Linked DNA regions of Rhinolophus ferrumequinum. The protein of the gene in region 2 purifies or fractionates together with the protein of the main gene of each other region. This does not show direct contact. Links are inferred from orthologs where the notes say so. Each region holds a gene or a part of one and is shown on either strand. Other genes may lie near its edges.

The links.
Region 1: the proteins of CDC42 (region 2) and IQGAP3 purify together in Homo sapiens (affinity purification with mass spectrometry; 4 studies listed by BioGRID and IntAct, with this or other methods). This does not show direct contact. The link is inferred for Rhinolophus ferrumequinum from reciprocal best matches to the Homo sapiens genes CDC42 and IQGAP3.
Region 3: the proteins of CDC42 (region 2) and CDC42SE2 purify together in Homo sapiens (affinity purification with mass spectrometry; 4 studies listed by BioGRID and IntAct, counting the BioPlex papers as one, with this or other methods). This does not show direct contact. The link is inferred for Rhinolophus ferrumequinum from reciprocal best matches to the Homo sapiens genes CDC42 and CDC42SE2.
Region 4: the proteins of CDC42 (region 2) and PRKCI purify together in Homo sapiens (co-immunoprecipitation; 3 studies listed by BioGRID and IntAct, with this or other methods). This does not show direct contact. The link is inferred for Rhinolophus ferrumequinum from reciprocal best matches to the Homo sapiens genes CDC42 and PRKCI.

Annotation. Positions count from the first base shown.
Region 1 is NC_046305.1:1,007,694-1,015,540, forward strand, and holds the start of IQGAP3 (ras GTPase-activating-like protein IQGAP3), read right to left. Parts: upstream 3,003-7,847; 5' UTR 2,945-3,002; coding exon 2,908-2,944; intron 1-2,907. Other genes in the region: TTC24 (tetratricopeptide repeat protein 24), read left to right, coding at 5,422-6,127, 6,327-6,530, 6,957-7,085, 7,221-7,333, 7,637-7,735.
Region 2 is NC_046292.1:14,899,133-14,906,083, forward strand, and holds the start of CDC42 (cell division control protein 42 homolog), read left to right. Parts: upstream 1-3,938; 5' UTR 3,939-4,061; intron 4,062-6,951. UniProt on the Homo sapiens protein: Plasma membrane-associated small GTPase which cycles between an active GTP-bound and an inactive GDP-bound state. In active state binds to a variety of effector proteins to regulate cellular responses. Involved in epithelial cell polarization processes.
Region 3 is NC_046307.1:7,843,456-7,851,161, forward strand, and holds the start of CDC42SE2 (CDC42 small effector protein 2), read left to right. Parts: upstream 1-4,702; 5' UTR 4,703-4,819; intron 4,820-7,706. UniProt on the Homo sapiens protein: Probably involved in the organization of the actin cytoskeleton by acting downstream of CDC42, inducing actin filament assembly. Alters CDC42-induced cell shape changes.
Region 4 is NC_046285.1:72,048,429-72,056,078, reverse strand, and holds the start of PRKCI (protein kinase C iota type), read left to right. Parts: upstream 1-4,647; 5' UTR 4,648-4,943; coding exon 4,944-5,044; intron 5,045-7,650.

The DNA.
Region 1 (7,847 bases), on a different chromosome or scaffold from region 2:
CGCAGCCCAGCCCCAAGTCCAGTCGCCGTTTTCAATCTTAGCTGCAGGGGGCGCAGCCCACCATCCCATGCGGGAATCGAACCGGCAACCCTGTCATTAAGAGCTCGCGCTCTAACCACCTGAGCCATTTGGCCACTTCTCCCTGAAGCTTCTTCTTAACAGACTGGCCTTGGCAACTGCTCGAAGACCGGACGCATCTCCCAAATCTCCCTCCCTCCTCCCAGGACAGCCTGGCTCCGCTCTTCTGCCCCCTCCAGCAAAGCTGCCCTAGTCAGCACCCTGTGGGAGGGGGCTCTCCACCCATGGACAGGGGACCCTTCTGTCTCAGACGCATCCCTCCCCGTCCTCCCCAGCCGTCTTCCTGACCCCCTCCTCGTTCCCAAATCTACGTCACGGACCCTCCCTCAGTGCCTCCCAGCAGGGATGTCCACATCGCTCCTTGGCTGGGAACTTCACCCCTTATTTCATCCCTAATTAGACTGAGTTCTCCAAGAACAGGGCTTGTGTCCTCAGGTACTGTCCCAGAGCCTCGGTGAGCAGAACCGACTAGGACTCGTCATTCAACAGCCGTTCGTTGACCCAGTACCTCCACATGACAGGTGGACCCCTGCTCTCGACAAATACTGAGGTAATTATTAGAATAGGACAGCATGTAGGTAAAAACTCCAACCTCATGTGCTGTGATTACAGCCCATGAACAGTCTATACCAACAGCAGGGAAAGCAAAGGATTCTACCGATGAAATGAACCTTAAAGAATCTTAAAGAACGAGCAGGTGGGAAAGGAAGAAAGGCAGTTCAGAGAGCAGCGCGTGAAAAAGGCCAGTCACTTGGGATTAAACGGAAGGACAAAGAATTTTCAAAGATCACAAAGGTGGTGTCTTACTCTCCTTTTTGGTATTGGTCACTGCAGGAGGAAAACAATCTCCAGGCTAAATAAATAATCTCCAGGCTAAATGCAGACAATATTCTGACCCCCAAACTCAAGAACAGCGAACCCCTGAAATGAGAGGGCATTCACATTCTGCCTCGGCCACAGCCACCCCTTCTCCTTCTTTCTCCTGTCCCCCATCTCTCTAGACAAACACAGAATCAGGATGAGAGAAGCCTACACACACACACACACACACATACACACGCACACACCCCAAGAAAATAAACTCGGAGGGCTTGAAAAGAGACAGACCGTGGCCAATCTGTCTTTGCCTCAGCACTTAATGTCATTCCCACTCTTTATCTTATTTCTTTTTATTACATATCCTTCAATCTTTTGGGGGAGGGGCAGGGCTTGTTTGAATTGGCAGTTCACACACACACACACACACACACACACACACACGCCCTCTGTGTGCAGGTTTGAAAGTACTGGCCAACTGCAGGAAATCCAGCAGTTCCTCCGAGGGGGTGTTCAAGGAACAAGTGCTGGTTGCTGGTTGCTAAGCATGGAAAATAAACCAGTAAGTGAATGACATCACCTCCGAGTTATGAATTCAGGACTATGAGAGACGGGCGGGGCTTTGTACAGACACACACAGTCTAAAAAAAAAAAAAATCAGTCTTCCCGCTCTTCTCAGGTCTGGAACTAGCTTGCCTTCACCGCGTTGCTGAACATGGACTTTGTTTTCTGAAAGCTAATGGAGAGGAAGGGAAAAGGGTGGGAGAGGAGATTTGGCCTTTCTTTCCGAAGGTCGGATGGGAACCTTTCTGCGGCCCCATCCTTCGGACTCATCGCTCTTTCTAGAGCAGTGATTTGGAAAGTGTGGCCCAGGAACGACCTGCATCACAATGACCTGAGGTGAGGAAGAAGCACAGCAGAGCTGGAATACATGCTGATGATGGGCCCCCACCCAGGGGGGGACCTGCCGCTCTGGGTGAGGGCTCATGAATTTGCATTTTAAACACGCTCCCCTGGTAATTCCCACACCCTGACGTTCAACAGACACTGTCTCAAAGAGGCATCGAAAAGTCAAGGAGCCCCCTGTGGGGGTCAAAAAAATAACTTTCCCCTCACCTTTCTAAGTTCTTCTGGCTGGGCTAATCATCAAATTAACAGGAGACAGATTAACACAAGAAAAGGTCCAAAGTTGATCACGGATGTAGGTGGGGGGGTGCCATAAGAATATGAGACCCCAAAAGGCATTGGGCAGTTGAGGCTAATATGCTATTCTGGACAAAGGAGAGGGAGGCAGAGGTCTGGGATTCCAAAGGGAAAGCAGGTAAGTCTCAGGTAGATGAGGAAGAGCAAACACGTGGTGCAGAGTTCTTGCCGGGCCACGCAGAAAGTGGAACACGCAGGGGGGCTCAACAAACAGCCCTTGCGGGACTTCTCCGTCTGCCTCGTTTAGTTCACAGTATCATGCCGAGGGGACGCTCCCTTCCTGGAAGCAGGTTTTCTACCCGATTTCCTTCAGGCAGGTAAGGGGAGGGTCAAAGGTTCTTTCTGAGTCTCTTGTTCCCTAATAACCAGCTTAAAATCAATATCCCAAAAGGCATATTTTGGGGAGGCACAACTTTGGCTCCCCTCAACCTCCAGGTCGGTCTCTTCCGGCGTCCTGTCCCCTGGCAGCGCTTAGCAAGCACGGCAGCCATCAGCAACCGCCGAATTTTAAGGGGCCACCCAGACCACCTACCTTCTCCCAGCCCCCGAACCCCAGAACTTGGGAATAAGAGAGAAAACGCTCTGTCGGCACAGAAGTCGGGGAGGTTTGGCTGCTCACAGCGTTACTCCGGCCGCGGGAGTCCGGACTCAGCGCTCGCTCCCGCGCAGAACAGTGTCCCGCCGGCCCTTGCCTGGAGGCCCCGCGCCCGCCCCCCGCCCCCCGCCCCAACCTCTCCCAAGACCACGACCGCCGCGCCCCCGACTGCTGGCACCACCGCTGGACCCTCCTCCGCCCCTTCTGACACTCACAGACAGCCCGGCCAGGGCCCGCTCCTCTCCCCTCCATGTTGCTCCTTCTCCAAGTTTGAATCTCCCGCCGCCGGCCACCGCCCCTCACCGTCGCCAAGGTCGGACAGGACACTTCCGGTCTGCGCGCAGGGGGCCCTGGGATTTGTAGTTCCAGGCTGCAAAGGCGCACCGCCAGGTGGAGAGCACGAGAGCACCGCCCTCCTCGCGGCACCTTGGCTTGCTGTCCCTCCTGGGCTCCTTCGTTGCTAAACCGTCTTATTTCAAGCAGCCCCGGCCCCTGCCCCTGCCGTTGCCCCTGTCATTTCCCCCCTAGTATTCCCATTAAGTCCGCCCCGCTTCCTACAGTATTTCTTGGTCCCGCTAACTTGAGGGCCTGCTGGGGGCGGTGCCCTACCTAAACTAGGTGGTGCGGTGCACAGATGAATAAGCACAGTGAGTGCCCTAAAGAAGCTTGCTGTTCTGGAATGAGTGATAAACATACGGTCAAATAAGTCAGAGATCAGTGATACACAGAGGGCGGAGGCCATCGCTGAGCCCCGCTATTGCCTTACTGTTTCGGGCAAAGCCCTGCCAACTTAAAGAGGCCTTTCCCCAGGTGAGTGAAGGCATCTGCTTTGATGCAAGGCCAGCTTGGTGAGTTGGGGCCTGCCGCCCGCTCATGAAGCACCGCTTGGGGGCTGCAGAGCAGTGGAGCTGGGGAAATGGGGCAGGGAGGCTCTTCTGATCCCCAGGCCTCTTCTGACCATCAGCCTTTCACCTTGTTCCCAACTGTGAGACCACCACACAAAAGCACAGTGTGCAAGCGTGTGAGTGTGTGTGGCTGCTCACGTGTGTATGCGTGTAAGGGCTCACTTCCCCGCCAGCGCAAGCCTCGTCAAAGTTTGCAGTCACAGTGAGTGAAGAGTACTGCTAAGCTAGTCAGCTCAGAATCAGAAAACCTGGGGTCTAATCCCAGCTGCCTGGCTGCTCTGTGACCTCAGGCAAGTCACACCTGCTCTCTGAGCCTGGGTCCCCCACTCATCCTCCCCCGCCACTCTGTGAAATAGGGGTACTGCATAGATGAGCTTTGAGGTTCTAACTAGCAACAAGCCCCTGAAGAGGTACTTGAGGGGTGTGTCTGAAGGAGTGGGGAGTGATGGGACGGGAAGGGCGGTGGAATCCAGGTATCTATGTCTAAGATAGGGCACCTGATCTGTCAATCAAAGAATTCACTAGGAGAGGGGGGCGGTACCTGGTTGTCTGGTAACCCTCCAGCTCTGAGCTGAGAGCTGGGGGAGGTAACCCAAGCCAGAGGGACCATTCCAGAAAGCCCTCTGTGGAGAAGATCGAAGGAAGGAAGGAAGGAGGTAAGGCATCTTATGGCTGCAGCCCCAAGACTGAGTGAGGGCCTTTCAAGAAGCAGGAGTCCTGGGTGTTCTTAGGAGCCGTGGGAATTTCTTTAAAAGGAGAATGTATCACCTCAGCCTGCTCCTCCTAAAAAGAGGAGGGAGGGAGAGAAGAAAATGGGTGGGGCTGAGGACTCAGTGCCTGGGTCTTCTCCACCCCTTTTTCTGTCTCTTGGGAGGAGAGTTCATGAAAAGGCTTAAACCCAAGAAGTGTACTTGGGTTTAAGAGTCGCCTGGAGACCAGAGCAGGGTGTTGCGGGACTAAAAGTAGCCAGCAGACAAAAAGCCAAAGGGATAGGGGAGGAAGAGTTCCCCCCTGAGGACCAGAGCGGGCAGTAAATAGACATGTGCTCACTTCTGGACCTTGGCTCCTTGCCAACTCGATAGCCTTTTCCGCTTTGTGCCCCCAGGGCTTTGTGTGGCTCTAACACATGGCAGGAGCTCACTGAGTATTTGTTGAAGTGACCCCCAACTATGTCTTGGGGTTAGACAGCAGGAGCACCTAGCTTACGAGTGCATGGGTATGTGCGGAGGCACAGGACGGAGAAGATGATGGAGGAGAAGGCCTGGGTCTGCTCTGTTCTTCCGTCCATTCATTTATGCATTCAGCAAACAGCGGTGTTGCGGTAAAACAGAGGGAACATAAAATATGGCATTTTAAGCCATGTTAGGTGGCATTGAGCGTACTCGCGGTGTTGTGCTACCGTACGACGACCACCCGTCCCCAGAACCCTTCCGTCTCGTTTGATGAACATTTATTGAGAATCTACTATGTGCCAGGCCCTTCGAGTTGCTCCAGATCTGAATGGGAGAGAGACAGGACGTTACCAACTCTGATCCAGTGTGACAGGTGCCGTAAAAGACAGAGGGTGGGGTGGGCGTACAGAAGGACCCGGCTGGGGTGCGGGGGAGAGCTATGACTTGAGCTGAGTCTGGAAGGAGGACTAAGAATTAGTCGGGACAGTAGAGTGCGTTGGCATGGTGCCCAGTGGGACCGATGGAGTAGGTGCCACGGAGACATTCCTGAAGCCCTGGGGTCCCAGCAGGGCAGGGACACGGGGATCCTGCTTTGGAGGAAGCCAAGGGTGACGTGCTGGGCCCTGTGCTGTCTGCTGTCATTGGCAGCACCATGTCGTCCCCCAACCCTGACGGTGCCCCACCAGAGCCTGAGCCTGAACTCTCAAGTTCCAAGAAGAAAGAGAAGAGAAGGAAGTGGCCACAGCACGAGGCCAGCATCCAAGCCCTCACCAGGGCCGGCCACGGGGCCCTACTGGCCGGCCGGAACCATGAGGCTTTGACCAGCTTCCAGAGGGCCTTCTTCCTGGCCTCCAAGGCCCCACGGAAAAGGGACACCCCTGTTCTCCGGGCCTGTGCCTTCAACCTGGGGGCTGCCTACGTGGAGACTGGGGACCCAGCCAGAGGCCTTGAGCTGCTCCTGCGAGCCCAGCCTGAGGAGAAGGCACAGGGCAGGAGTCATGGTGACCAGTGTTTCAACGTGGCTTTGGCATACCATGCCCTGGGGGACCTGCCTCAAGCTTTGGCCTGGTACCACAGGGCCCTGGGCCACTACCAGCCACTCAGTGACCAGGGGCAAGCCCAGGCCAAAATGGGAACCTGCTACCAGGCTCTGGGACGGCCTGAGCTAGCAGCCCACTACCTGCAGGAGGCGAGCCGGGCCTATGCCCAAGCAGGGCAGCCCCGGGCTGCAGCCCTGGCCCTGGGGGCTGCAGCGGGGTGCCTGCTGAAGAGCGGGCAGCACGGTGTGGGAGAAGTAGTGCGGGTGCTGGAGGAGAGCCGGAGGCTCGCTGAGAAGAGCGCTGAGCGGGGACTGCTGGGTGAGGCGTTCGGGGAGTGAGGCATGGGACCTGGGGACACTCAGACCTGGGGTGCTCTGGGAGGTGGGGTGGAAGCAGAGGCAATTCCGAGGGCTGGGGATGGGGCCGGGGGGCCCTGGGAGAGTGGGACAGGGGCTACACCAGTACAGCCTCAGCTGCCTCTGACCTGGCCACCGGTGACCCTGGCCTCGCCCTCTAGGGCAACTCTATAACGACCTAGGCCTGAGCTACTGCCAGCTCCAGCTGTTCCCACTAGCAGCAGAGGCCTTCCTGCAGGCCCTGCCCCTGTGCCCCGGGCCCGGAGAGGAGGCCACAGTGCTGAGAAACCTAGGGATGGCCCACAACGCCCTGGGCAGCTATTGGGAGGCCCGGGAATTCCACCAGAAGGCTGCCGACCTGCATGGTGAGCGCCGGGGCTGGAGGATGGGATTGGGGTCAAGGGACTAAGGGGGGGTGCCGGGAGGGGCCCCAAGGCTGAAGTGTGGGTGGACCTTTAGGACCAGCCGTGGGGCCGGGAAGCCCAGAACCAGCGCTGAGGGCTGGGGATGCAGGAGTGGGACAGCCAGGCAGGACAGAGGGCTGTGGGCCCAGCGGAGAAGCCTGGGGCTGGGAGATGGAACAGCCTGGCCTGCCGCCCGGCTCAGACTAGCCAGGGAGGCACTCAGGCCAAAACTCAGACTGGGGAGAGGCTGGGTGTGGACCTCTCAGGCCTCTCTGTGCATCTGGAGGTGTGCACCCACCCTCCCACCCCGCCCTTTGGTTGCTGGGGGCAGGGTGCGGATGCCCCAGCAGCCAGGCCCTCTGGGGATGGTGGGGGCTGTGTCACCAGGCTCTGTGGGGCAGCGGTGGGAACAGGGTCGGAGCTTCGGCAGCCTGGCGTTTGCACTGAGCCAGCTAGGGGACCACAAGGCCGCCAGGGACAACTACCTGCACGCTTTGCAGGCTGCCCAGGATGCAGGTGAGGGCCAGGGGGTAGCAGGTGGCCGAGAGTCCTTGGGGCCACCCAAGGGGGGGGTGGGGGTGGGAGTACCTCTGGAGGGAGGGTCAGTGGGGTAAGGAGCCATGAAAGGACCTGTCAGGCTGTCTTCCCCAGGTGACGTGAAGGGGCAGTGGCAGGCCTGCGAGGGCCTGGGGGCAGCCGCAGCCAGACTGGGGCAGCATGAGCAGGCCCTGACGTACTATAAGGCAGCGCTGGCCCGGTGTCAGGTGAGACCCTCCCTCGGGGCCCAACTTCCTGCCAGCCCGCTGACACTCCTGCCTCGAGGCCGTGCCTTCTCCCCCATTCATTCACTCATCAAACATGCCCTGGGCACCTTGTGCGCTAGGTCCCAGGACACTGTTGTGGGGAAGAATCCATCTCTGTCCTGTTCTGGGCAGGACCCTGGCAGAGGCACGGGGATGAAGCAAAGGAGAAGGAGGACAAAGTCCCCTTCTCTCCTCCCTTTCCTGTTCCTTTCTTCCCCAATTCCTAGGTCTTTTCCATGGCCCCATTGCCCTCCCTCTCCCCAGAAGGAGCCAGATTCCGTGCGAGAGCGGCTGGTGGCCAAGCTGGCGGATGCCATGAGGACCCACCTGGCCCGAGGGGGGCTGGTCCCAACTCACACCCTGGTGAGAAGACACCCGAGACAGGGAGCTGGGGGTGGGGAGACTACTGGGGGCAGGGGGAGGTAAGCAGAGCTGCCGTTCTCAGGTCAGGGACACTGCGCCTGACCGCTCCCCT
Region 2 (6,951 bases):
CCCCGGGAGTTTGCAGTAGGGCAGAAACAGCATGGAGACACATGACAGAACAGGGCAAGGGCCTCAAGAAGTCCCCAGAGAAGTGCTATGGGAGTTTCGAAAAGGCAGAGATCGCTTTTGGCAGCTGAGAGCCGAGCAGGCTTTGTGGAAGAGGTGGCACTGCATTCATTCATGCATTATGTATCAAACGTTTTTGAAGGCTGGCAGTGTGCCAGGAAATTAGGTCAAAGGATACAAAAATGAATAAGATAAGATCTCTGCCTGCTCACGGCCTCATGGTTGTGTTAGCACAGATATAAATGATCCCAATAAAGTATGCTTGAAATACAAAGTGTAATAGGGATGCTTGGTGCCTGGGGTTGTCAGGGAAGGCTTCAGAGAGAATAGGAGTTTGGCAGACAGAGAAGGGAACCACTGAATCTGCAGAGGAACAGGTGGGAAAGGACACAGGACAGTGTTGGCAAAAGGGACAGTTCATGGTAGCAAGGAGAGTGGGACTTGACAGCTAGGATGGGTGAGTGGGAAAGGTGTTCTAAACAAAGGGAACAGCATGAGCAGGGCACAGAGGCAAGAAATCATGGTACCTGCACATGGCACTAAACTAAGTAATTCAGTCTAGCTACAGCATAAGTTGTGTGATGGTTAATTCTATATGTCAATTTGACTGGGCCATGGGGTGCCCAGATATTTGGTCAAACGTTATTCTGCGTGTGTCTGTGTGGGTGTTTTGGGGTGAGATTAACATTGGGATTGGTAGACTGAGTACTGCAGACTGCTCTCTCTAATGTGGTGGGCCTCGTCCAATCAGTTGAAGGCTTGGATAGAACAAACTCCTTTGTTTGGCTTTGGACTAAAACTGAAACATTGGTTTTTCCTGGGTCTTGAGGAATTAACAGGCAGGGCAGTATTAACAGGCAGGGCAGCCTGGGGGTCATTGGACTGCCACTGAGACATTGGCTCTTCTGGTTCTCAGGCCCTAGAATGTGGACTGGAACTACACCGTCACCTTTCCTGGGTCACTAACTTGCCAACTCACCCAGCAGATCTTGGGATTTATCAGCCTCTATAGTTGTGTGAGTCGTATATATATATATGGGTAGATAGATAGAAAGGTCAATAGATGTGGATAGATAAAGACACAGATCTTTTCTATTGGTTCTATTCCTCTGGAGAACCCTAATACAGAAGGGAAAAGGAAAGAACTTTGGAAAGGCAAGTTGGTGCTAGATCATGGAGAACACAAAATTCCTGGCTAAAGGACTTTGCATTTTATTTTGAGGATGAAGGAGAAAACACTGGGGGTTTGTTAGCCAGGAAGTGACTTAATAAGAGCTGAGATCTGGAAAGATGAAGGTTGTGCTATATAAAATGAGTTAAAAGATTCTCAAAGGAAACATCTAGAAAGTGGATAATTTTGTGGGATCTATGGTGCAGAAAAGGTTGGGAGTCCCCAGATGAATAAGGGTGCAGGGACCCAAAGTGGATATGGGCACCATAGAAGTTAGAGCAGGTGGCAACTGGAAGATGATTTCAGTGGTGCTGATGGGACTTCTTAGTAGCTGAAAATTTGGAAATGGGGATGGGAATAAGGACTGGAGGAGGTAGAGATTTGGGAACCATTTACATAGAGGGTGGTGGCAAGTACCACAAAGGAACAGACATGGGGGGCAGGGGTGGCAGAGTGATTCATCAAGAGTCTTGCAGTTGTGAGAGAAACCTACTCAACCTGGCTCAGGCAGTACAGGGAATTTATTGGCTAGTGTGACTGGAAATTGAAGCAAAACAGAATCCAAGGGCTCAAACGACGCCACTGGAACTTGGTTTCACTGTCTCCATCTCTCAGCTCAATTTTCCCCCTCTGTCTTCATCTCATTCTCAGGCAGTCTCTTTCTTTGCAGTGGGAAGATGGCTGCCAGCAGTGCCATGCTTACACGTTGCCCTCAGCAGATAGATTCATTCAACTGGACACTTCTGGCCAAAGTCCCCAAATTGACTCTTGTTGGGGTTTATGGGGTCCTATGCCCATTGTTGAAATGCTCTGGCAAGAGGGCTCTCTAAAATGCAGTGATTGGCCAAAGGGGCGGGAGTTAAGTCATTTCCTCTAGAACCACTTGGATTGAGAATGGGGGTGGGGCTGCTCCAGGAGAAATGGAAGTGCTGTGACCAGAAGAAGGAGGAATGGGCACTGGGCTGGTAACCACAGGGGAAGGGGTGCTGGCAACCCCCAAGCTGCCCTGCCTGTTAATACGAGGCAGCTGTAGCAAATGGGGCTGTGGAGGGGGTGGGGCACGGGTGTCTGGGAGGGCCAGCAGCAAGGGAAGGGGTAGACTGGGGTTAAGTAGTAATGCTACTGCCTTTTGGGGCTGTGAGGAGGTGGTGGTGGACCCCTCTGCCAAAAACCTGGCAACATAATAGACCAAGTGCTAATAGACCAAGTGACGACCAAGTGTCCTCAGAATAAAGGCAGGAAAAGCCAAGCTGTTGGGTGACACCCCATCAAGATATTGCTGCTGATGGAAAGGGCAGACATTGTCTGGGGACATTCATGGGATTGTGAGACGGGATGAAGGAAAGGTCACTGCCAACTGGCCTTGCAGTGGAGAAAACACAACCACTTTTCCCTGAAGTTTAAGAAACTAAGCTGATGCGTTTTTACAATAGTCAAAAAATTTATAATAGCCCCAAATAACCTAAATTCCAATAGAGGAGATTGGGTAAATATTGTAACGCCCATACATTAGCATACAGCCTTTACAAATAATGCTTTATTTGACATGGAAAGATGTTCACAATGTAGTTTTTAGAGAGAAAGGCAGATTACAATGTTTTTGCGCAATAGATGTGTGTGTGTATGCACACATATATATACGAGCGTAAATAAATATCTGAAGTGTACACCAAAATGTTAATAGTTGGTATTATTAGGTGTAGGACTACAACTGAAGCTTATTGTTTGGTTTGTCTATAATAAGCCTGCTGGGTAGTATGATAATGTAGTTGTCAACTAGAGCCAGCTTCCTGGGTCCAAGTCCCAGCTCTGCCACCTCCTGCCTTGGCAACTTTGGCTCGTTCCCAACACCTCTGAGCCTCAGTTCATATATCAATAAATGGGGGTTCTAGTTCTTCACTCATAAAATGGTTGTTGAGTATTAAATTAGCTACTATTACACCCAAAGTTGTTAGCACCATACCTAAACACTCAAAAATGTAGTTATTCTTCTTGGGTAATTAATAAGTCCCAAAGAAAATGTGACTATTAAATCAAATATATTGGAAACGTGTCTTTGTTGGCCAAATATGCTTGGTAGTCATCAATAAATGAACTATTAAGATAAGCTGTTTTCCTCTAACACTGGGAAACATACGAGAATATGACAGTGAAGGTTGCCATTTTCCCAAAGCTTGCACACTCACAGGGAAGACAGATGATAAACAGGTGCTGTGAGGATAGGATGATCAGGAATGGCTGAGAGCCAACGAAAGGGCTGGTGACAGGCAGGGGCAACAGTGAGTGCAAGGCCTTGCTGTGGGGAGGAAGTGTCTAAACCGAAAGAAGAATATACACCTGGAACGAGGGACACGGGTGTAGGCAGAGATGAGAACAGCTCTCATGCCGCGGCGGACCCACAGGCCTGGGGAGTCTGGACCATCCACCTGCAGTGGTCTCGGGCAAGTCACTCTCACCCTTTGAGTATCCTCCGTCTTCTATGCAAAATAGGGATAATAGTACTTTGCTTCACAAAGTTGCAAGGATCAAAAGCGCTCTGCAAACGACTGCTTACAGTATTATTACAAATACGTAACAACCATGAGAGAGAGACGTACGAAGATCAGCCACAGACAAGAAAGCGGCGCTGAGCGGCGCGTGCGCGTTAGACTGTCCGAGCCTGGGCGGGGGATGAATTCAAGCCCCGCCTCGGCCTCTGCTGGCCTCCCGGTTCCTCCCACTTCCGCGGGTACCCAACCGTGCGTCGCCTGCGTGCTGACGTCAGGCGCGTGCCCCTGTCCGGCAGTCGAGGAGACCCCGCGCAGTGCTGCCAACGCCCCGGCGAGAAGCTGAGGTGAGTGCGGGGCCCGAGGCTCCCCGCGGGAGCGGCGTCTCCGTGGTCCTGGCCCCGCCGCCCCCAGCCTCTCCCGTCCGCGGGGATAACCCGCCTCTGGGATCCCGGGAGGCCGAAGAGCGCGGGGCGCGGGGGGGTGGGGTGGGGTGGTGGCCAGCTCGCGCTGCTCCGTCCGGGGGAACGCGAGTCCGGGTTCCTTCGGGCAGTGGAGGGGAGAGGGTCGCGAAGGGGAAGGCGGGGGGCGCCCGCTCCCCAGAGAGGAGCGCGGCGGGGGCGCGGGGTGCTGGCCTGAGGGCGCGGGCGGGGCCGGGCTGTCACCGGGCTGCGGCGGAAGGAAGGGGTCACACCCATCTCGGCAGCCCGGGCTCCCCTCCCCCCGGCCGGCTCCGAGGGCGGACGGCAGGCCGGGGCGCCGTGGGCCTGGGCCTTGGAGCCGCTGGCGGGTGCACAGGCCGAACGAAGTGTCGGTGGCCTGGGCTGCCGGCCTGGGTCTGCCCCCTGCGCTCCGGCTTCGACTTCCTGCTTCGCCCGGCGCGGCCGCGGACATTTTGCGGCGGGCGGGGGGAGGGGAGCGGAATTGCTGGCGCGGCGGGGAAGTGGTGGCCGGGGAGGGGGCGGCTCGTCGGCCGCCCCGGCTTTGGCTGCGACGCGCTCTCCTCTGCGGCCTCGCCGCCCGACGCTTCGAACGGGCTCGGCGGGCCTGGTCGTGGTTTCTCCAGTCGCCTTTATTTTTGCCTTAGGCTGAGTTTCTCATGCCATTTCCGTTTGCTTCTCCAACTCAATCTTCCTGCCTATTCAACCGAAGCTTCCTTTTCAGGGAGTTACCTAACCACCTCCCGAAACTGTCGTTTGGCCACTTGCTTAATTCCTCTTACTAGGGGGATATTTTCTTTGTTCGTTTTGTTTTCCCCCCCTTTAAGTCCAAGAGAAATGCAGTGTGGAAGATTACGTCACCGCAATATAAGGAGTGAGAGTTTTAACTCCTGCAAGTCAGGGACTCATCAAATTAAGACAGCATTTTTCAGCCTTAGTTGAATATCCTGCCTGCTTCCTACATCATATTCAGAGGTGATCTTTTCAAATCCCGGCCGTCTCAAATGCACCTAAAAGCCAGGAAGGTTTAAAATCTCAAGATTAGTTTCTGCCAGGGAGTACAGCGCAAAACAACACCTTCTACAGCTACTTGTGTAGGCGATAACTTGAAAGATCCTTTTGTACTCGAATGAAATGAATTTATTTGTGGAAGCATCTCTTTGGTCCAAAATGACTTTTCCCGACTGTTTAACTTCTCCCATCTGACTTAGATGCAGACTACATATTTAAGTTGATTCACGTGCCCTTTTTGGGACAAGAGTGTGGTGAAAAGAGAATCAGTTCATTTTATGCCTAATCTTTGCTTGCTAGACACTTTTAGTTTTGTAATTAAAAACAAGGTTTGGATTTTCAACCGAAAAAAACTCGAGTGACATTTTTAAGCCATTTGGGATCCCAGTATTTGTTCCCCAAAATGTAAGGTACATCCTTCATTGACTACAGGGTATACAGTAGCACAGAAAAATGTTAGCATTGTAAAGCAAATGAGATCAGTTGTGTAATGCATTGTTATAAGTTCTTGTTGGAACAAGCACTTTCCTATTGTTTCTCATTTGTATAGAAAGAAGGGGTTGCTTGTTAAGAAACACTTAAAGAAGTGGTAGGGTTAGGTTTAAATCAGCTTTCTGTAGTCTAGGTGTTGTAGATTGGATAGGTGTGGAGCTTGGATCTTCAAATACATTTGCCATAATCTCTTTTTAAGAATATAAAAATGGAACACTTATCTGCTGCCTTATTTCTCGAGTCTTCCACATTTAAGAAGTTGAATTACACATACATCAATTTGTATCCTTCCTTTTAAAATATAGCAGAATAGTCTTGAGTTTACAGTGTTTAGACTGAAGCAAGGAGTTGAGATTGACAATTAATTGAATATTAAAAGTGAGCTCTTTTCCAGTAATTTCTTCATGACCTAAAAGGTATCGCATCCTCTTAAAATATTTTCACATAACAACCAACGACCGTACTCAGTTAAATTTAATTTTTTGGGAAATAAGACAGGTGTTACAGCCTAGGGTAGTCAGGACTTAAACATCAGTGAGATTTTTAAAGCCCACTAAGATCAAATCTTGACTTTTTTTGTAACATCAAGATTTGTTTTATTTGGATACTTTTTTCCACTTAAATTTTATGGTCTATTAGAAAAGCATTTCTAGTTATTTTTAAAATGGTTATAGTAATGTTTTGATCCAAGAGCTGTCACATTTGGAAAGTTTTGAAGTACAGTTTATTGTGATTGTCTGGGAGCAGTATTTATAGGCATTCTTGGAAATAAAAGTCAAATTGTACTTTTACTGGTAGGTACATTTTAAATGCATGTATTAGGCTGTTTTTTGAGTGGTTGAGGAACACTTAATGAGAAGCATTTCAGGCTACAGGGCCTCTTCAGGACAAGGAGGGTTAATATTTTAACTTACTTCCCATAAATAGATCTATAATCCTCCTATAATAAAGGGCTTAATTCTAGGCCTTCAATGTTCAATATTCTCTTCCAAATCTATTAGTTTCACCTACTAGAATGTAAGTTCTATGAGGGCAGGCTTTGACCTGGCATGGTCATTCCTGTATCTCTAGCACCTAGAATATGCCAAACACATACCATGTGTCCCCCAAAATAAGACCTAGCTGGACAATCAGCTCTAATGAGTCTTTTGGAGCAAAAATTAATATAAGACCCGGTATTATGTTATGTTGTATAAGACCCAGTTTTATAGTAAAATAAGACCGGGTCTTATACTAATTTTTGCTCCAAAAGACTCATTAGAGCTGATTGTCCGGCTAGGTCTTATTTTCGGGG
Region 3 (7,706 bases), on a different chromosome or scaffold from region 2:
GATATGAATTCACCTTTTTCAATATTGATAAAATAAACAGACTCAAGAAACACCAGACAAAGACAAGATTCAAACAATATGATTAGAAAGCTTGACTTAATGGACACACTTGCAGAAAACACATTCATTTCAAGCACACAAAGAACATTTTCAAAAATCAAAAATGGGCTGGGCCAGGTGTCTAAAGTCCCAGCGAGGTGAGGCCACAATGTCTGCTAACCCAGGAGTGCGTGGGGTGCCACAGATTTCTGTGAAATCAGGAGCAAGAGACGCTGACGAGGAATCTGCTCCAACCCTTGAGATGAGATGTTATAGCAGCAAGATCTACTGGTTCTCAAAACCTGAAAATATGTAGATCACTCTGAAGAAAGGGAATTCGCTGTAGGAAGGAAACTCAGGATAGTTTTCCTACCAGAAAAACAAACAAAGTAAATGTGTATTTTTTTATGGCTAAAGTTAGGGACTCAAAATTATGGGGTGGGGGGACCATGATAAGTGACAGCAGGAACTGTTCCTACAGTATACAGAGAAAATGTAAAAGAAAAGCCCAAATATTGGCTACCAATGGCTCAGAAGTGCAGCCAGCCAGATAACCTGGAATGTGTTTTGCTGTTTCTGTGGAACTAAAACCACAGACAAGCAAATGACTGATAGGAAAACCCAGAATGGGACTAAGAAAGTCATGTGGACAGGAAAGAAAGGACAAGGATTATGTCAGTTCCCAACTCCTCTTCTCCCAACGAGACCCTATTCTTGAGTTTGCTGAATACCAGAACTTACAGTCATTATTTCTGGGGTTTGTTTGTTTGTTAATTTATTTTTGTTCTGCCCTGGGTTTACTGTTCTTTTGTCAGTCTCCAAGGTTGATATGGACGTCTGGGTACTGGGCATGCGGGTTGCGTTTATTCCCTGTAACCTTTGTTGGTAACTTCCATAATAATTGTCCAGATTCATAGTCACGAACAGCTTGTTCTTGTCAAGATTGTACGTTAATGTACTGATTGTTACACACTGCTGTCTTCATTGCTCAACAGTCCTGAGACTGGTACAAGTCAGGAGTGTTTGGTGTACTTACTGTAGACAACTGAGGCTTAAAACAGCACAGTAACTATCGTCATTCCCATTGTGCAGTGGTTCCTAAATTTTGCTACGTATGAGAATCACCTGGATTTTTTTTTTAAGTTCATTGGGGTGACAATTATTAGTAAAATTACATAGATTTCAGGTGTACAATTCTGTAATACATCATCTATATATCACATTGTGTGTTCACCACCCAGAGTCAGTTCCCCTTCCATCACCATATATCTGATCCCGTTTACCCTCATCTTCCATCCCCCACCCCCCTTACCAGATGAATTTTCTTATATATATTATTAGAGCCTTTACCTTTTTTTTCTTGACCCAACATTTTTTTTTTTTTTTGAAGGGGAACAGTGTGTACTTCCAGGCCTGTCCTCCAAGTCAAGTTGTTGTCCTTTCAATCTTAGTTGTGGAGGGTGCCATTCAGCTTCAAGTTGTTGTCCTTTCAGTCTTAGTTGTGTCGGGCGCAGCTCAGCTCCAGGTCCAGTTGCCGTTGCTAGTTGCAGGGGGCACAGCCCACCATCCCTTGCAGGAGTTGAACCGGCAACCTTGTGGTTGAGAGGATGCACTCCAACCAACTAAGCCATCCTGGAGGCAGCTCAGCTCAAGGTGCCGTGTTCAATCTTAGTTGCAGGGGGCGGAGCCCACCATCCCTTGAGGGAGTCGAGGAATCGAACTGGCAACCTTGTGGCTGAGAGCCCACTGGCCCATGTGGGAATCGAACCGGCAGCCTTCGGAGTCAGGAGCATGGAGCTCTAACCGCCTGAGCCACCGGGCCGGCCCCTGACCCAACTTTTGTTAAAAGTAACATTCCTTTAACATCAAAATTTGTGACATTTACATTTTAACCACAAACCTTTTATTTTCTATTGTCACAGTAAAATTCAATACTGCATACTTTGTCCTTTTGCCATAGTTTCTCTATTTATCTCTTAGTTGGTTGAAAGTGAATCTTCAAGTAGTTTGTTCAAGAAGAACTAATGGGTATGATATTCCCTGAATTCTTCCATATTCAGAATTGTACTTATATTGCTTTTATACCTGAAAAGCAACTTACCGGGCATGAAATTCTTGAGTCACACTTTCTATCCTTGAGGACTTTGAGTTCTTTGAGGACATTATTTTACTGACCTCTAATCAGGGCCATGGTGAAACCTGAAACACAGTTATTGTGAGTTAAACTTTTGCCTGGCAAACCAGTTTTCTTTCTTTATCTTTAATGCTCAATAACTTTTCTTGCTAGGATATGTTTCATGTTGGTTGGTTCATAGTGGAGTCAAGTCACCTCTTATCTGGAGAAAAAGTTTTCTTGATTTATGTCTTTAAATACTTAAGATGGTCCTTTGGGGCAGGGGAAGGGTTCGTATTTGAGGACACCAATTGTATACATGCTGGGTCTACCCTCTCATCTTCCTTAATGTGATTAAGAGTTACCTGTAGATAAACTAAAGCAAACAACATTCTAAGTGGGAAAATATTAGAAGCATTACTTTTATAAACTGGAATGAGACAGAGATTCCTCTGTTGTCTTTTTTATTAAATCTTACATTGGAGGTCCTAACCAGTATATACGAGGCATAAGGTTTGGCAAAGAAGGAAATAAAATGGTCAATATTTGCAGTTGATATTGTTTACATAGAAAACCCAAAGTAATCTACAAATTCACAAAATGTCCAATGTCAGACAAAAGTCAGTTGCATTCCTATATACGAGCACCAAACAACTAGAAAACGTAGTGAAAAAGAAACTATTTACAGTAATATTAGAGAATATTAAGTCTCTAAGAATAAATCTAACATAAGATATTCAAAACCTTTTTAGAAGAGAGTTTAAAACTTTGTTTAAAATGATCAATTATAACAAATAAGCCACACTAATACAAGACGTTAATAACAGGGGAAGCTGAGGGTTGGTAGATGAGGGGTATATGTACTTTCCACCCAATTTTTCCGTAAACCTAAAACTAAAAAAAAAGTCCATTAATTTTAAAAATGTTCTTTAAAAAAATACATATAGATGTAATAAAACTATATAAAAACAAAATGAAGATATAATACCGTGTTTCCCCGAAAATAAGACCTACCCCGAAAATAAGCCCTAGTTAAGATCGTCAGACGGACACATTTAGTACGTTATGACGATGTTCCAGAAGATGACGTGACTGTATTTGAATAAATGTAGATTGTTGTACATGAAAAAATAAGACATCCCTTGAAAAATACACCCTAATGAGTCTTTTGGAGCAAAAATTAATATAAGACCCAGTCTTATTTTGGGGGAAATATGGTATAAGACCTGGTCTTATTGTCGGGAAAACACGGTACTATAACTATAATGCATAACACTATGGCTACTTATCAGAATTCTTAACAAATAATTCTTATCTTAATATTTTGTATATCTGCCTCATTGATTTACAATTATCAGTTAGTGGAATATGAAAGTAGAACTGAAATTATTTCTTGGTGGGCAAAAGAATATGTTGGGAAGGTCTTGCTGGAGCAAGAAACTCTAATAAGCCCCTTTAGTCCTTTTCAATTTCCTAAACCAATAAATTTCTGTAGAGATCATTCTTTTTACTAAAGGTAATTATTATTATTTTTTTTAAAAAAAAGACCTTTTATCTTCTCTTCATTTAAGCAATTCCCATGAACTTATCAAATGGTCAAAACGTTAATGCCCCCCCCCCAAATAAGTTAATTTCTTTCTCTTTGAAGACATAACCTCTTCTAAGACATTCTCATCATTTTTCTCTTTGCACTTAACCTACTTTTTAGTAGAGTAGAATATGCAGTTCTATACTGTGAGAGAAGACAAAGTGAAAAATATTGTCCTGGAGAGAATACATGAATAGCAGAATAAGTCATGGAATGACAGTGCCCATTGAATCTCATGTGTGTGCGATTATTGTTCATGAGATAATCCTAGTTAATTTTTAAAGAGCTCTTCAGATTAATGAAAAATTAACCAGGAAGAAACCAACCTCCACAGTACTGATGACTTCTTAAAAGGAAACCGATGAGCACGAAATAATCATGTAGGTGCTATAATTCCATTTCGAGTTTTCACATACAGCCCTTTGTGAATGAATGCTACATGGAGCTTCTCAAGGAAGTCATTGAAACGAGAATATTTTGAAGTTCAAAGAGTATGTATGATACATTAATGATATGTCCATATATATAAACTTTATTCTTAAAGTAACATCAGTCATGCATTTTGTCTTTCTGCCTACTTATTACCATCTTCTACATAAAGTCAAACTCCCTAGCATGACCCCATCCTGTTCTGCAGGCCCAGCATCATTTCCTCTGTACACCCACAGGTACCTTCCTCCAACCCTGCATTCCTACTCTAGTTCCCTAAGGACATCACACTCTCATCTCTTCCTGATGTCATCCATGTTGTTCTTCGATGCCCGTAAATCGCATCCTTCCTTTCTTAGATAATTCCTCAAGTACCTGCTCTTTTAGGAATCCTTTCTGGATCCCCAGAGGCTGTCTCAAATGTCCTCCACTAGAATTATCTCTAAGATAACACTGAGCAAACTGCCCAACTTCCTCTTCACACCAGAGTACTGCTGGTGCCGGAAGCTGTGGTGGCAGCTTCTTGATTCAGCAGCTTCCTGAGTAGAGCTAGAGCCAGAGCAGGGGCTCTGCAGACACTGCATGTGGCTGCAGAGCAGAGGCCAGAGAATGAGACATTCATCCCGAGGCCAGGCTGGCCTGAGAATAAGGTAAGACTAAGAGTTCTGTTGTAAGTGAAGGATCAGAAACAAAGAAGAGACAAGTTATGGGTATGAGAGGCAGAGCCTGGGAAGACTTTAGAGGCAGAGGGATGTCAGAGGTGCAAAAAGCTGCTGGGATGCAGAGCAGTGCTGCTTTTACTCGTCTCACCATTCTCCATCCCCATCTCAAAAGCCTACAGACTCCCGTCAGTAAATCACCACTGCCTCCTATGGGGCCTGCCACACTGTAGGTAGACAGCAAGGATCTGTTGAGTTGAACTGAGACCTGTTAACTATCCTTTAAAGACTATTTTCTAAAACCTCACAAAAAATAATTTTCTAGGAAACCCTCCCTCATCTCCCCTAAAAAGGATTCTGTTCTTATAGATAACTCGTGGTAGCTTTTTTGTGTGTGTGGTATTTCTCAATCCCTTTCAGTGTTCCACCTTGTATTGTACATATTTGGATGTGTCCTATTTTTTTTCTATCTGAATGTATCCACCCTAAGGGCAAGATCACTGTCTGAACCGTCTTTGAATGTCCCCATATGAGTGTCACAGACTGTGTGGGAGTCTTCATGGGGCTGCTGTGTACTGCTCCTATTCTTCACCAGTTCTAATTTGCTTTAGTCCTCATTTTCACATAAGGGAGATTTCGACTTAGAAAGTGAAAACAAGCTTATGTAGAATCCAGAAATCTAGTCCAATGTTTTCAAAGGAAAAGCAAAGGAAATAAATATATAATCCTCTACTAAAGTTACTTTAAAAACTAATGTGTATTTTTTGTGTGTGCAAGATATCTTTTTGTTTTAACCTAGCTATCATGGTTCCTAGTATTACTTTACTTTGGCTTTGTACCTCTGATTTGTGGTATGTTGTGGAATTTGAAATCAGAACCCCATGTACCACTTATACCCTGATCTTCTAACTGAAGTGTGACTCATTGTAACTAAATGATGGTAAACAAAACAAAACAAGACAAAGCAAAAGAAAACCATCCGGGTTTGGTATGTGCCAGGGTGTAATGTGTGTGCATATGTGTTCTCATACGTCTATAATTATCTACTTATCATCTATTTATGTTTATTTTAGAATTAACAAAGAGTAATGGAGAATTTATTGAAATATTAATTTGGAGGTCTAGTGCTAAGCTGTCCAATACCATACATGCATGTTGCTACTACATGTTGCTACTGAGCTCTTGAAACACAGCTATATTGGATTGAAATATGCTATAAGTAGAAAAAAATACAACTAAATTTCGAAGGCTTAGTAAATATATCATTAATATACTTTTATATTGACTGCATGGTGAAATGACAATATTTTGATACTAGGTTAAAATATATTATTAAAATGAGTTTCATGTGTTTATTTTTACTTTTTTTCCATGGGGCTACTAGAAAAATTTAAACTACATATGTGGCCTGCATTATATTTCTGTAGGACAGTATTGGTCTGGTGTATGCTATAGTTATTTTTGCTTTAAAAACACTGCAAGGAAGTTGTGAAAAAATTCCACTCTAATAATGGAGACAAACTTTTCATAGACAAGTATTGACAGTCTACTGTGCTGCAGGCACTGAGACCTTATATAAACTATTTCATTTAATTTTCCCCAATCTTATTAGATAGGTATTATTCCTGTTTTAAGATAACTAGAGCGGGGCTCCAAGAGGTTAAAAAATTTTCCACAAACCCATGATCAGACAGCTAGCAACCTGCAAAGCATACTCATAGCCACCTGACCCCAGAGATCATTCCCTTTTTATTAGAATGCCTTTCCTTTTCAGAGGCTGGTACCATATGCTACCAGAGATTCTACCATCCACAATTGTGAGGTCTCACCAGCTTGTTACTTCAAAATAAGGTCATATTTCCTTTTTTACCCAAAAGAAAATAACATATATATCCCTCACAGGCCAAATATTAGGAATTCCCATCTTTTCCCTTCCCCATATAATCATAAATGACCAAAGGTTGTTTACTAATGCCTGAGAATTGATCTGTTTATCTTTGTGGGTTGATGATAGAGAGGAAACTAAGATACACTCGTGAGGCTGGAGGGCCACCTCATATCCTGTCTAGAGAAGGGTTCATTTAGTGACAGTGGTTGTGGTAGTTTTCTATTGCTGTGTAACACATGACCACTAGTGGCTTAAAACAACATCCATTAGTTAGCTCATATGATCTGTAGGTCAGAAGTCCAGTATGGTGTTACTGAATTCTCTGCTCACAGTATCACATGGCTAAAATCACAGTTCCTGCAAGTCTGAGGAACCTGAGACTGGGGGGAAAATCTGCTTCCAAGTGCATTCTTGTTGTTGACAGAATTCAGTTCTTTGTGGATATAGAACTTGGGTTCCTGATTCTCTGTTGGCTGTCAGCCAGGGGCCACTCTGCTTCTGGAGGCCAGCTGTTTTCCTTGTCATGTGTCCCATCCCCCATCTCCAAGCCAGCAATGGCACATCAAATCTTTCTCCTGCTTTGAATCTCTCTGACTTCTCCTTCTGCCACCAGCCATAGAAAACTCTCTGCTTTTAATAAGGGGCTCATATAATGAGATCAGGCCCACCCAGATAATCTTATGTTAAGGTCAACTGTGACATACAACAGAACGTAATCATGGGTATGGTATCTCATCCTGTTCATAGATTCCAGGGATTAGGGCTTGGGATACTGGGGGCAGTGGGTGGTGCATTTCAGTAGACTGCCCACTACAGTCCTGGGGATCATATGGGGCATGTACACCCCACAGAGGCAGTGGCAGGGGGCAAGGTATCAGAATCCTCCCAGCTACTTAGCTTGGCTCGTCCTGGGGATAAAAGCAAGAGCTGACTCACTGTCAGGCAGTAACATGTACTGGGCAAGGAGTGGAGGATGGGATGTGAAGAACC
Region 4 (7,650 bases), on a different chromosome or scaffold from region 2:
GGCAAAATCTTACATATAGGAAATTCTAAGGAATTCCCTATTAAAACTAAAAACACTATTAAAACTAATAAATGAGTTCAGCAAGCTTGTAGGATACAAGGTATATGCAAAATTAATTGCATTTCTGTACACTAGCAATGAATAATTAAAAATGAAATTAGGATGGGAATGTAATTGATGTAGCCACTATGAAATACAGTATAGAGGTTCCTCAAAAAATTAAAAATAAAACTATCATATGCTCTAGCTATTCCACTTCTGGGTAATTACTCAAAGAAAACAAAAACACAACTCAAAAAGATATCTGCACCATGTTCTTTTAGCATTGTTTACAATTGCCAAGACATGGAAACAACCTAAGTGTCCATTAATGGTTGAATGGATAAAGAAAATATGATATGTATATATGTACATATGTATATATATATACATATATATATACACACACACATATATATATACATATATATGTATATATGTGTGTGTGTGTGTGTGTATATATATATATGTAAATACACACACAAAAGAATATTATTCAGCCATTAAAAAATATCCTGCAATTTGTGACAATGTGAATGGACCTAAGGACTTTAGGCTAAATGAAATAAGTCAGAGAAAGGCAAATACCCTATGATTGCCCTTACAGTGGAATCTAAAACACAAACACAAAACAGAACAAAACAAGCCAAACTCACAGATACAGAGAACAGATTGGTGGTTGCTAGAGGTGAAGGGTGGAGGGTGGAAGAAATTAGTAAAGGTGGTGAAAAGGTACAAACTTCCAGAGACAAGATTAGTCCTGGGGATGTAATGCACAGCATGATGATTAGAGCTCATACTGTATTACATATTTGAAAGTGGCTAAGAGAGTAAATCTTTAAAGTGTTCATCACAAGAAAAAAAATTTGTAACTGTGTAGTGATGGATGTTAACTGGACTTATTGTGGTGATAATTTTGCAAAATATGTCGAATCATGTTGTACACCTGAAACTAATATTATATGTCTTTTATATGTCAATTAAAAGAAGAAAGAAAGGAAGGAAGGAAGGAAGGAAGGAAGGAAGGAAGGAAGGAAGGAAGGAAGGAAGGAAGAAAGGAAGGAAAGAAATCCCCCAGGACATCCCCCTTAGGTTCTGTTTCAATTGATCTGGGATACCCTCCCACTACCACCAAAATAGCTTATAAAAAGCTCCTCAGTGATTCCTATGTGTAGTCAGAGCTAAAAGCCACCAGTGTCTGTATTGATAGGTGAAATAAAATTCTAAAACTTCATGAAATTAACACACTTTTAAGTAATTATTTCTCAAACATTTCAGGATTCCAGGCATTTAGAATGCTCATTTAGAATAATAGAATGAAAAAGTTAAAAAAATGAAATTAAGAAAACAATTCCATTTATAATAGCATCAAAAAGAATAAAATACTTAGGAATAATTTTAACAAAAGAAATGCAAATCACACTATGCAAACCACAAAGCATTGTTGAAAGAAATTAAAGATCTAAATAAATGGAAAAGACATTATGTGTTCATGGCTTGGAAGGCTATATATACGGTTGATATGACAATACTCCACACGCTGCTCTACAGGTTCAACACAACCCCTATCAAAATCCCAACTGACTAGTTTGAAGTAATTGACAAATCGATCCTAAAATTTATACGGAAATGTAAGAGACCCAGAATAGTCAAAACGATCTTAAAAAAGATAAAGTTGTAAAACTCAAATTTCTCTGTTTAAAATTTACTACAAAACTACAGTAATGAAAACTGTGATTTTTGTATTAGGGATAGCTATATAGATCAATGGAATAGAATCAAAGAGTTCAGAAATAAACGCTTACATTTTGGTCAATTGATTTTTGACAAGGGTGCAAGACAATTACATGGGGAAAGAATAGGCTTTTCAACAAATGGCACTGGGATAACTGGATATCCATATGCAAAGAAATGAATCTGGACCACTTATATTACACACAAAAATTAACTCAATATGGATCATAAACCTAAACATAAGAGTTTAAACTATAAAAGTCTTAGAAGAAAACTCATTGTAAAATCTTCATGACCTTCGGTTAGTCAAAGCCTTTTTAGACACGACACAGAAAGCATAAGCAGCAACAACAAAATAGATACATCTGACTTCATCAAAATTAAAAACTATCGTGCTGCAGATGATACACTCAAGAAAATGGAAAAACAATGCACAGAATAGATAATATTTGCAATCATCTAAAAAGGGACTTATTTCCACAATATATAGAGAACTCTTACAACTCAATAAAAAGACATAGGGCACCCAACTTAAAAATGGCCAAAGGATTTAAATAGACATTTCTCCAAAGGAAATATACAAATGGACAATAAAAAATGAAAAGATTCAACATCGTTAATCATTAAGGAAATGCAAATCAAAATCACAATGAGATACCACTTTCACAACCACTGGGGTGGTTATAACAAAGAACACAGTCCATAACAAGTGTTGGTGAGGATGTAAAGAAATTGGACCCCTCATACAAGGCTAGTACAAATGTAAAATGGTGCGGTCACTTTGGAAAACAGTTTGGCATTCCCTTAAGATATTAAACATAGAGCCACCGTATGACTCAGCAATTCTACTCTTACGTATATGCCCAAGAGAATTAAAAACATATTTCACACAAAAACTTATATATGAATGTTCATAGCATCGTTAATGTAGAATGTTTATACAATGAAATAGTATTTAGCCACATATGGGAATGCAGAACTGATATATGATACAACATGGATGAATCTCGAAAACATTAAGCTAAGCTAAAGAAGCCAGACACAAAAGTCCACACATTGTATGATTCCATTTATATGAAACGGCCAGAATAGAAAAATCCGTAGCGACAAGAAATACACTAGTGGTTACCAGAGGCTAAAGAGAGTGGGGAGTTACTGCTAATGAATGTATAGTTTCCTTTTGGGGGGATGGAAATGGTCTGATATTAGATAGTGGAGATGATTGCATAACTTTGTGAATACACTAAAAATTATTGAATTATATACTTTGAATGGACAACTTGTATGGTATGTGAATTATACCTCAATAATGCTGTTAAAAAATTATGGTCATGCTTTGCTTGATAATCACAACTAAAAGCTTTCATCATTCAGAAAAAGAAAACTTATTTATATGGTGGGATGAAGCAAACTATAAATATTTATAGATTCTTTTTGACGACAAAGTAAACAATAAGCCTTTTCTGAGAGAATGGTTACCTTCAAAGGATGCTATAAGGCCAATGATAAAGGATTTTTCAAACTGCTAAGGAATCAGTATCCAAAATAAAACGGTTTCATGCCTTACCTTTCTAAAGTCTCACTTCCCATATAGCAAAAATTTCCTTTTTTAGAGCATATAATGTTTAAAATTTCATAATGTCACAAGCATACCAACTTTTCCATTAGTCCAACTAAAATTTCACAATCTCATTTTAGAAATAGTTTATATTTCATAGCTAACTGATTCATATTTAATATGCTGATGGAGGTCCCCAAGTGCCAAAAATCCTGTTACCAAGGGAGAATTTCAGTGGGGACTTTTATTAAGAGCATATAATCCAAGTTTGTAGCAGTTGAAGAACATTATACCAGGTTAACTGTCACAAATATCTCTGATGAGTCAATCCCATAAGCCTATTTTATCATAGCAAAGACAGTTATTTCGTTAATTATTCCACCCTTTTAGCATGGGTTGGTACCAAGACTGACGCAGGGGCTGGATTCATGCTACGTCTAATTGCAGTGTGTGATGGAGCCAAGACCAGTGGAAAGGCAGGGACTACGCTACAAGGATAGATTTTTTATAATCCTTGGTTAGCCTGTGTTAACAGAAACAATGCTGATGGATGGATGGATGGATGGATGGCCGCAGGCATAAATATTCATCGTACACTTGTTCCATGCAATGGCAACATACAAGGGCGCAGATATGGGGGCCACGAAGGAAGAAAAATCAGTCTTCCATCGCATCTTCTGGTTGAGTTTCCACCTTTATTACATTTGTTACATTATTTAATTGTTTCCATAAAAGAGTCTATGCTAAACAGGTAACCAAATTTGTATTGCCAAAAAAGGCATTGTATAATTGAGATGATTTATGCAATTGGAAGGGAGAATTCATCAGAGAACAAAGTCTAGATCGTGACGAAGCCCAGTCATTTCCAGTGACCTCAGATGCCCAAGCTGGATTCAGGATTTCCACGCCAACAGTTCCTGGGGCGCAACCTGGAGACACTGTCAGAGAGAAGGCGGGGCGTTCCATACGTAAGGAACCTCAAGTCCCAGAATCCCCCGGGGACTCCAAATCCCAGAAACCCACACAGCAAATCTAGCCGAATCCCAAATCGGCTGGCCGCGGACGCGACCAAGTTAGGAAACTGGGGTGAGATGCCGCAGCACTTGTCCCCTACCATTTTCCCTATAGGGAGGGGGCTTTTTACAGAACTATAGTTACTCGAACCGTCGCATTCTCTCAGTCACAGATTCCACGAAAACCTCCCTCCCGGCGTATTTGATGTGAGCATCAGCGTCTCCCATTCTCTCTCCCCCTTTTTCCTTGCCCTCCGTAAGAATGGTTCAGCCGGGCATTGAGGCTCCTTGAGTTGGATAGGTGGTAGTGCCCGCCCTCCCGCGGAATGTGGGCCTTTGGAGCGAGCGAGGTGGGAGGGCCGGAGGCAGGGAGGCGTGCTGGGCCCGGGCGGCTGTAGAGGCGGTGGCGGCTGTGGGCAGTGGGAGGAGCCGCGCGGTTCCGGCTGCCCGGGCGAGGCGACCCTTGGGTCGGCGCCGCGGGCGAGGAGAACAGGTAGGGGAGCGGACTGCCGCGGCTCTGGGAGAGGCTCGAGCAGCGGAGCCCCCCGGCGCGCCCCAGGCACCCTCGGCCTCCGGCGTTGAGGCGGGGGAGTAAGGAGATGCCGACCCAGAGAGACAGCACTACCATGTCTCACCCGATCACAGGCGGCGGCAGCGGGGACCATTCTCACCAGGTCCGGGTGAAAGCTTACTACCGCGGGTGAGTGTCTGGGGGTACGGGTAGGAGGGGAGGGGGAGGGCCAGCTGGATTTGGCCTGGCGGAGGGGTGGGTGAGGGAGAGATGTTGTGGAGGGTTGATCTGAGAGGGCGACTCTGAGGACTCGGGATGGGTGACCGAGTGGTCGGGGGAGGAGCATGGGGCGCTGGATCGGGGCACCCCCAAGGTGTGGTGCAGGGCACCCGGGAATCGCGTGGCTGACTGTCCAGAGTAGAGTCCGCAGGAGGAGCCTTGAAATAGAGTAGGTCCACCTGGTGGGTTCGCGAGACTCGCCTACTAAGAAATTTACAAGGGTTTACGTCATTAGGTCTGGATGTATTTGGGGTTGTGAGAGTTGATTCCAAGTGATGCCTCAGTTAACTTAAGTTGCTATGGGCTTAAACGGCAGGACTGCTTCAGTTTGCTGCCCTTTTGATTTCCAGCAGGCCTAAAGCCTTGGGTTCTCCAAGTCAGGTTTATCTTCATCACCTGTAAGAATTCACGAAGTGTATCTGGACTGTGGTCAAGCTGCCAGTAAATTAGACATACGAGTTACTATTTAAGAGTGAAGTTGATGTGTTTTCAGGGATGTACCTTACGTACTTATGTTTCTCCAAGATTAGATGTGTACGTGTAAAGTAAAATTTTGTGAATACTTCTTTGTCATTGTGGCTTCAAGGATGGTCCCATAGGGTGAGATAATGCAAGGTGAGAAGAGGATGAGCCTAGGCAAAGCTTGAAAATCTGTGATCTTTACTCATGTTATTTATTGCCTAAGTTATAACTCTTGTGGTTACCAGAAATAATCCAGTCCTGAGATCATTATGTTCAGTCATATTCCATGATCAGTGAAGTGCCCCCCTTCCCTTGAATTCAGTTGTGGTTTGAAATTTCTTTGGGGTAATTATATTTAGGAGCATTAGAACAGTGAAATGCTATTGTGAGCCTAAAAGTTTGAAACTAAGGGTTAACAGAAAACCCAACAGCTTTGGCCTGTCTTAGTGCTTGTCGAAGCAGAAGTAAATTGCTTTAAAAAAAAACTCAAGCACTAGGAGGTTGAAACTGCAATGCATACTTTTACATTCCTGAGAGTATCAGTGAAGATAGCAAACTTTCAAAATGCCTCTGTTTTTGATTTCAAAGAAAATATAAGTCCCTAAATGTCGTATTGATTTGATGTAAGGACATACTGGTTTAGTGTGTTTGCTCCATGAAGCCTCTGACCTCTGTGTTAGCTTGACTGCATTCAGGAGTAGTTTACAGGAGATCTTTTGGACAGTATCAGTGATTTTGCTTAAATTGGTCAAGGAGGTCTTGATTTTAAAACAGTACCAAGAAGTGTGTGTAGGTTTTTAAAAAGTTTGTAGTTGTCACAGAGCTGTTTTGATTAAGGATGGTAAGCTATGAACTTTGCACTATGGGGAAAAAAGCTTTCCTCCCTTTAGCTTAACTTTTATTTGATAGATGAGATATTTCACTTTAGAATATGTTCCATTTTATAAAGTTGACAGTCCATGAGTTGTTAGGTACAGAGAATGAAATACAGTACATGTTCTTTTTTTTCTTTTTTTAAAGTGTCTGATTATTGACAATTTAAAAACTAGATTGAAAAATGAATATACGTGTACACAGATGGTAGGAAAGTGCAAATTGTACAGAGGTATAAAATAAAAAGTATTCCCCACCTCATCCTCCCAAACTCCAGAGGTAACTACTATTGACAGTTTATTTCTGGTTCTTCTGGAGGTTGCCTTTATTACTTTAAAAGTTATACTTCTGTTTTGTGATATATCAACTTTAGATAGTATCTGTTGATACTCTGAAAGATGAGAAATTGGGTGCACACAGCCTTTTGCTTTTTCTCCTCCTGGTGCCTCTCAATTTTTGATTGTTAAGCTATTATTTTTAGTTTTCCAGTTTACCTTCATGACTTTAAGTAATATAAATTCTTGACTTATTAAATTTAGATAGTTTCTAGTGATTCCAACTATGAAAGATGAAGAAACTAGTGCCTCTTTGTTTTGTTCCCATTTTTATTAATTTGACAATTGTAAATAGGCCTAATTAATAAATTAAAATCATTGTAAGTTTCTCCTTTGGAAAGAAATCAAAGCCTGGTATATTTCAGGAATGCATTATCATATTTTCTTGGCTCATTGCTCCAATTATTTAAAAAGGAATAAGGAGATAATAACCCTTTTAGTGCTTGACTAAAATTTCTCCAAGACATTAAAGTTAACATTTTCTTTGTTTTTTAAAACCTATGAATTTTTGCTAAGGAATGAAAGAACCCCTTGCTCTGTAGTGCCTTTAATTCAATGAAAGCTTTCTAATAGTGCCTTCATCTCGGGCCTCACTTAAAGACAGCATCAGCACTCTAAATTGTACCAATTTCTGTCCTCTGAAATTAGATCTGTTAAGATTATATGTTTATTAACAGTGGTCTAAACTGATGGGTACGATATGACACAGTCAGCTGCTCATTACTGCAGATGAAACTAAAATGAGTCACCAGTGAGGATAGTGAATAAACAGGTTGGCTAACTAGAACACCTACCTGATTTTAAAATAGAAAATCTTTCCTTTACATCAAGTAATGGAAGGACAGT